3 linked regions of the Drosophila melanogaster genome follow. The protein of the gene in region 1 interacts with the protein of each later gene in a pairwise test. Each region holds a gene or a part of one and is shown in the gene's direction. Other genes may lie near its edges.

Region 1 (3,425 bases):
TTGTGTACTGCCAACAGCAGTTTGATTGTTATTGCCAATGAATGAATGCACTTGCTCCGAGGATTTGTCTGCCAGACGACCAACTTATGAGTTTCCATCTACAACTCCGGTCCAAGAGATGCGGCTCCTGCTCCAGCTTCGTTTGCCCCGAGGGTTGTGGCAACACATTTTGCGGTCTGCAGTTGCAGCTTCTGCTGTTTCTGCCGCTGCTGATGCCATTGTTCCCACTGCCCCACCGCAACACTGCACCACAGTTGGATCCCTGCGCCGCCACCAACTCCCATCCAGCGCGATGGTGTTGCTCCTGCGTAAGCCTGCAGGGGGTGTTTATGCTGTTTGTTGTTTGTTATTTGCCGTTTCGCAACTGTGTGTTGGCAATGAATTGGCTGCAAACAACATTTCCGTTTTGGCCATTATATGGCGCCCACTCTACAAATGGGCGAGCATAATAGCCGGAGGGGGAGGTGGTGCAGTTGGGGTTAGCTCCCCGTCGCCGCTGACATTTTCACACTTTTCAGCGGAGTGGGTGAGCAGCTGTTGGCGGCGGGCAAAAGGATTGCCTTGCATTATCCTTGTTCATTTCCCTTATACTTTTATTACTGATGATTTATTGATGTCCCTTTGTTGTTGGCGGCGTGGGGTTTTTTCATTAACTTTTTATCAAAGATCGGGGGTTGGACATAAATAAATGAAGGACACGAGCAATCACTTCAAGGGTTATGAAAACTGCCAAATTAAAGGGCAAACATATGAAGTATCTACTACCGTTAAACAAGATACATGTATAATGTTTTAAACGTTGTTTTCATTCACCATTCGTTGGTCTTCTTCTGATGCACGGTATTGCACTCTTATAGTAAGTAATTGATGAATTTTAATGGCTTTCAAATTGGTACGATAATGTATATCTGTTTTTCAGAATTTCAACACCTTCGCCAGACAATAGCATGCTGCAAGTGCCGCAGCAATTGTCCATTGTTTCGGGTATCCTGGCCAACCAACCGGCAATACATAACTACATAAATTAACGGACCTCGATTCCAGGACCAGGACCACGGAAAGGGATCGGGCCAGAGACGTAGGGATGGCGCAGTGTCGACAGCAGGAATCGCCACCAGCTCTTCAATTGATTTTGCGAAAGCACTTTGTTGGTGGGCCCCATCTCAGAAACGGAACACTGCAGCACTAACTGGACAGCGGACGGCGGACAACGGACGACGGACTTCGAAGTTCGAACATTTGAGACAATGGGGCAGCAGCAGCAGTAGCATAACAAGGGGTATTGTGTGCACGTATTGAATGAATTGCCTTTGGCTTTCATTTCAGCTCTTTTTTCTGGGGCTGCAGGCTTCAGTCCAGTTTGGCTTTGTCCTGGCCGGGAAACAGTTCGATTGCGGGAGAAAATGAAATCAAAGTCGTATCAATTTGAAACCTGTTTCGATGTCGTTGTTAACACATGTTAACCAAACGTAGCCAAATTGCCAAGGAAAATGCAAAAAAACGTGGCAGCAGAAATCGAAATTGATATTGTTTTTATCTACATGAGTTGTTAAAATTACAATATATATGTAAAGTACCAATCTCAAACTTATAAGGCTGTAAAATCCTTTTTAAACTCACTTAACTGAATTCTACTTTTCATAAAAGGTGACAAGAACTAGTTGACTCTGGATTTTCTGACACTTTGCATCTGGTGTTCAATTCAACAACACCAGTCACATTAATCTTATATTTCGTACAAAACCGAGCCATATTTTATTGTAAATAAAATTCGATAAAATTTCGGTGGACATATTGGACGAAGATGTCCAGTCTGCAAGATATTCCGCTTGCCGACCCCGAGGGCCTGTCTGTGGAAGGTCCCGAGGTGGCCCCCGCTCCAAAGTCCAATTCCTTGAAGCGCTTCTTTAAGATCAGCAAGAAGCCAATGATGCGCGACCAAGTGGAGGATGACGACGAGACATCCTCCCAGGACAACAAGGACCTGGGAAAGTCAAACACTATAAGTCGCTTCTTTACCCGGATGAAGGGAGCCAATAAGGGTAAGCTCTTTTGACTGGTATTAAATATGATTTGTTGAAAAAAAAATGATTGCCTAATGACTTACAATTAAAAGGAGCTCTTCTTGAATAATCATAAACCCCACTTGCCAGATGTTCAAGATCCTTCGAGCTCGGTGGTCGAACCCGTGGAGCAGGATAAGCCGTTGCCGAATGCAAAGCCCACGATTAAGACATCCATTTCATCCTACTGGAAGATACTGTTCAACCGGCAGAAGAGCCAGCGCCAAAACGCAGCTTTAGGGCAGACCAATGCCAATAAAGAGGATAACGAGTCTGAAGAAGTCCATGAACTGCAACCAGTAAGCCAAGATCCCGATACCGATCCTCAGCCGACAGTCAAGGATGAGCACGATGAAATGGAACGTGGCACAGATCCGGAGCCACCCAACCCGAAGCCCAACAAAAGTGTTGCCAGCAAGGCATCCGGTCAGGAGATTGTCAGTGCCTTAGAGGGCGGCCAGCTGTCTACCAATGATCACGAGAATGCGGCTTCCATTTAGCCGTCTTCAACTAACACTAATCAAACCCGATGTCTAGTATCTCTACCGATCTCGAGGCAAAGGTTTAGAAATCAGTTAGGGAGCTGATTCAACCTTACACAATATATACTCTTCAAACACATCCCTGCTAACTGACATACATACAAGAACAAACATTTTCGCTTTGATTCCACAAATGATAATTCCGAGCTCACGAAATAAACACATACAAGACCCCAGTATGTTGTCATGTCATCCTTTGTGGTAAATCCATCCGTTTTTGTTCGTCTAAGGGGTCACAGAGTTCAGTTAAATCGGTTGTTAAAACGTCTTCACTGGGGGGTTTTGATTACCTAAACGAGTTTCATGTTTTGCGTTGCAAACAGTGGGGTTAAAAGGTGCCGCATGAGCCAGACAAGCCCGAGAATTATTTGAGGTTTTCACTTTCGAGGGAAGCCCTAAAGATGAGCCACCCCCAAAAGTTGGCTAACTAAATCACGTAATGAGTATTTAATTGTTGGAAGGTGTGCTATTAAGGAATAAGGGTGCAGAAAGTTTTATTTTAAACTTTATTTCAGTATCAGTATACCAGTGCAAATTTCTTGGCTCAGTTCCAAAGAGGTAGATATAGATATATCTCAAGAATGAGTAGTTTTCTTATCTCGTGTCAGTACTTTGGAAAATCTGAAACACACCAGTTGCATATCAGGATAAACAGCTGGGCGATGTTTACCAACATTGAGCACAATCTGCGCAAACTCCGGACCCGACTGAAAATAGTAAATATTTACATTGGCTAGACCAAAACAAGCACTTGTTGAAAGCCGACCGGTGAGTGCGGCAAATGCGAGATAAACACGCGATATGCGCATGTCCTACTTCC
Region 2 (3,736 bases), on another chromosome or scaffold:
CTGCTCGCATTTTCTCACACCCTTTGAATCCTTCTTAATCTCCAGTCGGAGAGCAAACAAAAAGCAAAAGCAATCTTTCCTTTGTGCCACGTCTCGAAAGTCTGAAGAGATCCTTGCCAGCACAGCCTATTTGCTGCTGTTTGCTCCTTTTGAGGACCTTTGCTTTTTCGAGGGTAAACGCTGCAGTGCCAGAGGTGGAGAACTTTGCAAGACTGAATAAAAGTCGGCCTAAAGTCTTATTGTTTTCTGGTTTTTATCTGAAAGCTGCTGCTGCTGCTGCCTCAGCTCTGTCATTCGAGGTCCTGTGAAGTTGGCGATTATTGTTGCAAACTTAGTTGACAACTTGCCTGCTCGTCCTGCCATCTGCACCGCCCACTTATCGCCACCACCGCCCACCCCAAGGCCATGCAGATGATGGGCCGCCAAGCGTAATAAGGCCGAAGCCCAGGGAAAGAGGAAGTCTAGTGAAAATAAACAGTCGGACAGCCAAGTTGGGCATAGTTGAGCTTCTCGGCATCTCAGCTTCGCAGTCTTGCAGTTTCCCAGTTTCCCACTCTCACAGTTTTTCAGTTTCCCAGTTCATAGTTTGCCTGTTGTCTCCCCATTGTCCTGGCCATTCTTTATTTTTCAGTCCTTCCACTCCGGCTCTATATTATTATTATGTCTTGGCCCGGACTGCACAAAGTTTTGCCATTCTCTAACGACTTTGAATTTTTAATAATACCCCGCTGGAGCTTAACAATTTTGCCATCGTTCGGTTGTAGCGGCTAAGCTTTGTTACCAATTTAATGCATTTCTTGGTTGACGGAAATTGAATATCCGTTAAGATATATTAACAATTTATGCCGCCCTGATTGCCGACCCCCAATGCGGGTGCGGAATGAGGAGATCTATGCCTTTTTTGCAGTAAAATTGAAAACGAAACGAAACGGAACCAAAGCACACAGATACTATACACGAACGAACGGTAGCTGTGGCAAGAGAGCAGTCATCATCAGGGCCATAATGAGCAAGTCAATAGCCGGGCGGGCCAGCAGCAAAGGGAAAAGTCGAGGGGAAAGCCAGGCAATCGATGACGGAGCAAGGAAAATGCCGGCTGCCAGCAGTCATGCAGCGACGTGCGATAAAAAGCAGATTGCAATTTGTTTTACTGATTTCCATGCTTTTGGCTTTATTTGCACGACGGAAACTTTCATTAACATCAAACAGAAACTGAAATTGAAGCAGTAATGGCATCGCCAGCACTCCAAAGGATACAGCCACGGGGAAAAGCTGGAAAAGCCGATCGAAATGCACTTAAATCATGGCAAGAATGAGATCTACGGCATGCTTAAGTGGCATTATATGTACATACATATGCGCATATACGAGAATGCCATTATTAAGTTGCATCCTTCATTTGCTCAATTTGGCCAGTTGACCAGCTGGCCATTTAATTGATACGGCAAAAGGTCAGGGTGATGGTAGACCCACTTGACACCTCACCAAATTCCAGAATTCTTTGGGCAAACATTTGAGCAACATAAATGCACAAGTCCTACCAACCAATTAGTTGGCAAATAATGGAGAGAAATGACTTTTCATCTCTCGACCGCAAACAAAGTCCTTTTGTATTCCACCCAGGACCTCCTGTTCTGAAATTTATGCACGGACTTGGGCCTGCAAGGATCTCGAGGAGTGGCGGACGACTCTTGTTTTGTGTTCCAAGTAATTTGAACAAATTTGCGAGACATTTTGTGGCCTCCGAGCAAATATTTCAGGCCAATGCTAACCACCCCATCATCATCATCATGGCTTGGGCAGGCCTTTTGCGGACAAAGGCCAATTAACTTAAATAATTAGCCAGAAGTTTTCGCCATCGGAGATGAATCTCAGCCTACGAGATGCTCAAGTAATTTCAATAAAATGTTATCATTCGGTTGCTGTCGAGTTGCCAGGGAAAATCCAATCAATTATCGCCCAAGGGAAGCAAATTCGTACAGAAAGTTAAAGGCCCAGGGAAATGGGAAACAAGCTGCGCCGCCAACCACAAAGAGTTGAAGTTGACGAGGAGGAGGTGAGATCCGACCGACCCCAGAAGAAGCCACCATCGTCATGGCCCTTCTGGCGCCTGGTCTACTGGCTGGGAGTCCTCATCATGGTCATCGGCATCGGTGTGGGCATGTACTTCACCCTCAAGTCGGACTTCGGTGAGTGCTCCTCCTACGACGTCCGTTGCGATTGAGTGCTCCTGGCGATATAGAAACTTCCACGGAAATGGCGGAATTCATTACCCATTGAACTTCAACTAATTTGAAGCAGCTTGGCCTGCGAAAGCAATTGTTCTACATTTAGCGAGAGTAAGTATGCCAGCAGATATTAAAGAAAACTATTTAAAATTATTTCCCAAATTAGATTTAATTAAAACTTATACACCAGTTATGTTTTCTTGTCGAAACATCAGTTTGATCTTTTTACTTTTTATCATCGCAGTCTACATTTGCCTGTTTGTTTTATATATACTCCACAGAGTTGGTGAAGATAATTAATATTGGGTTTGTAATATTATTTTTCATTTGCCTTGCAGTATAAACCAGCTTATCTTTTCGCAGATTCATATGTAAAGTTATTCATTTGTCTGTTCTCCTGTTTGAATTGTGATATGCTAAGCTTGGTTATATCACTATCAACTTACGTGCAGTCCAATACTTGTCATACATGAATTCTAGCAGCTGGATCTTAATTAAAGCCGGATGAAACAACCCACCCCACACTAGACCGCCTCCTTTATTGTTAACAATTACAAAAGCAAGGCCGAAGCCGCGCAATCTCCAGCAACACATGCAGATACATTTGTGCATGTAGACGTGTGTATTTGTGATGCTATTCAAACTTATTGGAGCGCTTCCTTTTGATGGCGTTCTGGTTGACTCTTCAATGGCGAAACACTTTTTAGTTGAATGAAGCTAGTGAATGCACATATTTTGGGTTGCATATAAAAAATCCTACGATTATTCACTGGCCCTATTTATTTTGGTGTTAATTAACGAAGTGGAGAATGGCATTCATTGATAAAAGTGTACAACGATTTTTATTTCACATATTTATGCTATTGCTGTAATTAAAATAACAATTTGAATTAAAACTCTAATTTTAATAAATAAACTAAAATTGCACACTTATGACGACACATTTTATTTAAATTACCAGCTTAGGAAGTTGATTGCTTCTACTAAACGAGACAAAAGTTATTTATTTCGGTGCGTTGGGGGTTTATCTTAAAACGACTTCTTATGAGAGGGGCCATCAGTCAAGGTCAAGCTTAACAAAGATTTGTCGGCAATTCGAGCTTTTATTTCTTTGACACTTGCCAGACTTCTTTCGTTCGCACACAGCAGGTGAAATATAAATAAACTTTTTAATGAACTTTAAGATTTATTGCCAGCAGCAGCCGCAGCAAGTCAAGTCTGACACTTTGTGGCTTTAAATTTTCGGACGGGAATGTGCTGTTTAGATAAATTATACAGCACAATATATCCCGAAGGCACTGGCTGGCTGACTGAATATTTTGAATGTGAAGAGCACCCTGCCCTGAACTAAATATTCTGCAAATAATTGCACTCGACATCGACTGAATAGACCTAGCCCACAAATAATATCTTAATGCTTGCTCTGTATTTTACGAGCTTCCACCCATTAGACGCACACACTGCGTATGCGTAATGTCGAAATAATATCATTAGTATAATTGAACATA
Region 3 (3,756 bases), 300 kb from region 1:
CGCAGCCAAATATGTATCGACTGCCAAAGGCAATGGAAAAAAATTTAATGACCGGCAAAAGTGAGCGTCCCCCGGCAGGAAGGAAGCAATCCGCTCCGGCACCCCAGTCCCTGCCCCTTTCGGATCTGAGTTATCTCTTTTTCATTTTCGGTTTTTCAAACTCTTTGTGTGACAGTTTTTATATATATATATTTATTTTTTTCTACATTTGAGGGGCTGGTCATTTTTCAGAGCACGCACAAAGGCAAATTTATAACAAAGTTGGGGTCAAACGGGGCTGAGGCCGAGAAGACAATGCGCTAGGCGGTCTTAATTGCTTCCCGGCCGCAAAAACAATAACAGCATATTTCTGGAAGAACCCTTTTCGAGGTCTTTGTTGCTGCCTTGGCAAACTTATTAATTAAACGCGCTCATAATTATTTAAGACCGGCTGCCGCCGGAGCAAATTCAATCTGTGATCATTGCCCCCGATAGGCAGAGCTGCAGTAATCAGAGTTAGAGGAGCAGAATCCCCCCCCTGCTCAGCTGCCTAATGTGGCAGAAGCGAAGGCAAACAAAAGCGGTGCCATTTCAAAAGAAATCAATGACAATTCGTTAAAGTTCCTCCCCGGGGTAACCGCTCTCCAATTTTCCAACCCATCCCACAGAACACTTCCCAGGACATCATCGACATTTGAGCAGCGATTAAAGACAATTGAAGCCGCAGATGCAGAGGCAGCATAAGTCTGCTGCTTTCTTATCAGTTGGCAGAGCTCTCTGGCTTTTCCACTCTCTCCATCGTTATCTCTCTCTTGTGGAAAAGCTCGCGCCTGCGCTGCCAGGCCAACGGTGTTATCATTTGCCAAGAGATTGGCGCTTATCAGTTGGCCAGTGAATGTTTGCTGGGTTATCCCGCCATTGTTTGGCCCAAATAAATCGCTGACTTGGCATGCCGGACGGAGCAGGGAAAGTCAAAGACGCCAGTGCCCCAGGCACAGGTCAAAGTATCTGCGATTCGATGCCTCGGACGAAGAGCAAGAAAAAAAAACAAAAGAACACACTGCCATTTATCTTGGGCGACGTTTTTGCCCTAATGAGATTTGCGCCAAATTAAATGAAATCGAAAATTAGGTGCGCCAAGCTCGTTGGCAATTTAAATTGAAGGCGGCAATTATCCGCACAAACGGCCAAGTCGGACCAAAACGGGAGGAGCATAATGAGCAGAAGCCGAAGTTAAACAAGATTCTCACCTGTCAGCTTTGGCACCACCTGATGGCCTGGCACCTGGAAACCTTCGGGTTTCACCTGAAATCTGCCACCTGCCAGCTGTCTCGAGTGGCGGCTTTGGTTTTGGCTTTGGATGGGCGATTAAAGCGCTCGTCGGCCACTCGAACAAACAGAATCGACGGCTCATTGAGCCGCAGCCAAATGAAATCCGGTGGCAAACAACTTGAAGGATCCACTCGAGAAGGAGGCGGAGGAGGAGGAGGCTGCGCCAAGGAGTCCTGGGGTCCTGAAGTAGAAAAAAGAAGTGCACAAAAACGAAATCATAGATTCAATTTGATTTATTTCGCTGCCGTACTATATTGGCGTTGGACTAACAGCCGTCTCTCGATTCAAATGGCAGAGCTTTCACTTGATGTCATCGCGGCGTGCTCTCTCGCTTTTCCTCCGAATTTTCCTCGCATTTTCCGACTTCACTCTCTGCCTTAAATGCCGTGGCAGCAGCCGAGCGTAGTCAGTCGATTTCAGTCGGCCGTGCGGCACACACACTCGCAACGCGCTTTTCAGCCAGCTCAATTCAGCTCCGGATTCCGCTTGCCACCAGCTTTTGAACGCGTCATTAATCGCATCGTGTGACAGGAGCCTCGAATCAGTTTTCCCAGCAACGCGCGCACTTTTCCCGCTTTTGACCACCGATTAAGGTCTCTTGTTCTTTCCGCCTTATCGCTTCGTCCTGTGCGTTTGCATTTTAATGTTTGCTTAAGCATTCCGTTTCGGTGTCAAAATCCAAAATCCAAAATCCGGCCAAACCAATCCCGGCGATAAGAAAAACCCTGGCCTGGCAAACGGAGAGCTCAACGCGGAATTGTTCGACACAAAAGTGAATTACAAATCAATTGAGAAAGCCCTCGGCAGCGAGACGTAAATATTCAAATGGAAACCGAATTACATATTCTTTTGAAATTGCCTTGGCTATGGTGCACAATTGAGATATTCGGCATTTATAAGATTGTGGAGTGGGCTATTTATGGTGATCAATCGGGGCAAAAGGCTGGGAGGTATTTTGCAGAATCACTTGGTAGGATTAAAGACATTTAAACATCATACTCGCTTAAAATTAAACAATGATGTTTGAAAGTCAGCAAAACCACTGCAATATTTAAGTTATGCCTCTTTTGTGCGCGTATACAATTTTAAATGCAAATGTTTTTTGGCAAACAATTCCAAATAAGAATACCTTAATCATTTATCACGAATGAAATTATTAAATGGAATTCACTTGTATAACAACTAAAATGAAAGTCACTCCGTGCTGTGTATTGAATTATTTATTGCCACACTTACAATGCTGCATTTCCATTTAATATCAACCTATGACACCTATTCCTTTGACCAAACGAGAATGGCCATGTAAATTGATTCTTGGAATCGGTCCACATGCCCATACGATTCACCAAAAAAAAAAAAAAAAATGCTCATTTCAGCAAAATTGGGTTTTATTTGCATTGAGCGAATGTTCCTTCGGATGAGTTCACGTTCAAGCTAACTCGCCATTTTCAAAAGCAAACATACAAATGCGTTATTAGTTCACATGCACAATGGCCATACATTCCTAATCGGTAACCCTGGCTGCTTTTTCTTGGAACGTCCTTAAACAGGAGAGGGCAATCTGGGCAACGAAAGGTTACAAAACGAACTGGAGGCAGACAATTGTTGGGGGATTTACAACATGGCCCTCGTATTGTTTGCAATGCAGCAATAAGTCTGGATAAATGCGGAAAAGACAGAAGAAAAAGGGACGATGGTGATGGCGATGGAAATGTGTCCACGGCAGTTATGACAACTTCTGCTGGGTCTCACCTGTTTCACCTGTTCGCCAGCTGCTTAATTGGAGTCACAGCCAAAGTCCGGGCGAACTTTCCGATTTCCGTTCCTGCAACGCGTGCCACTGACAAGTGACAGCTTCGATTTGAGGCAGGAGTAAACGCATTGCTCATCTTCCAATTCATTTTTTAGATCTGAATATACTCTTGTTTGATCCGAAAAAAAAGGGAAATGATCTGCGAAATAAAATTGTAGTTTTACTAGCAGAAGACGTGTTTTTCCGTTTACACTTTCAGCAAAAGATTAATTGAATTGAATGCAATATTTTTCAAGAGATTTATACTTTGATTTTCAACGAAACGATTTTGTTTAAAAATCGTTATTTTCGTTCACGCTTATTATAAACATGCTAATAACGGCAACCAATTATTCTAACCAATACTCAATATATTTGTAAACATTTTGTAAATTACTTTCCTTTTTAAATTCCGCTCACGTTTCACTATAAGCGATGGTTTATAGTCAGCCTGCCTACCTGAAATTGCAGCTTATTTAATAATTACTCACGAAAATCATTTTCGTAATTGACTATTTCTCACTCCGATGTCTATCCATACAGTCGATCATCAGATGAAAGTGCTTTCCCAGTTTCTTTGCCATATGCAAAGTAGTAAACGTACAAAAAAAAAGTGGGATTCAGTTGCAATTTGCATGCAGTTCGGCAATCGC

The links.
Region 2: the proteins of CG5217 (region 1) and CG17580 interact in a two-hybrid assay, tested with the Drosophila melanogaster proteins (one large-scale study listed by BioGRID).
Region 3: the proteins of CG5217 (region 1) and CG43732 interact in a two-hybrid assay, tested with the Drosophila melanogaster proteins (one large-scale study listed by BioGRID).

The regions. Positions count from the first base shown.
Region 1 is NT_033777.3:19,246,407-19,249,831, reverse strand, and holds CG5217 (uncharacterized protein), read left to right. Parts: upstream 1-1,695; 5' UTR 1,696-1,804; coding exon 1,805-2,042; intron 2,043-2,153; coding exon 2,154-2,563; 3' UTR 2,564-2,780; downstream 2,781-3,425.
Region 2 is NT_033778.4:12,804,696-12,808,431, forward strand, and holds CG17580 (uncharacterized protein), read left to right. Parts: upstream 1-1,918; 5' UTR 1,919-2,002; coding exon 2,003-2,224; 3' UTR 2,225-2,339; intron 2,340-2,394; 3' UTR 2,395-2,534; intron 2,535-2,591; 3' UTR 2,592-3,116; downstream 3,117-3,736.
Region 3 is NT_033777.3:18,948,480-18,952,235, forward strand, and holds the start of CG43732 (uncharacterized protein), read left to right. Parts: upstream 1-1,716; 5' UTR 1,717-2,124; intron 2,125-3,756.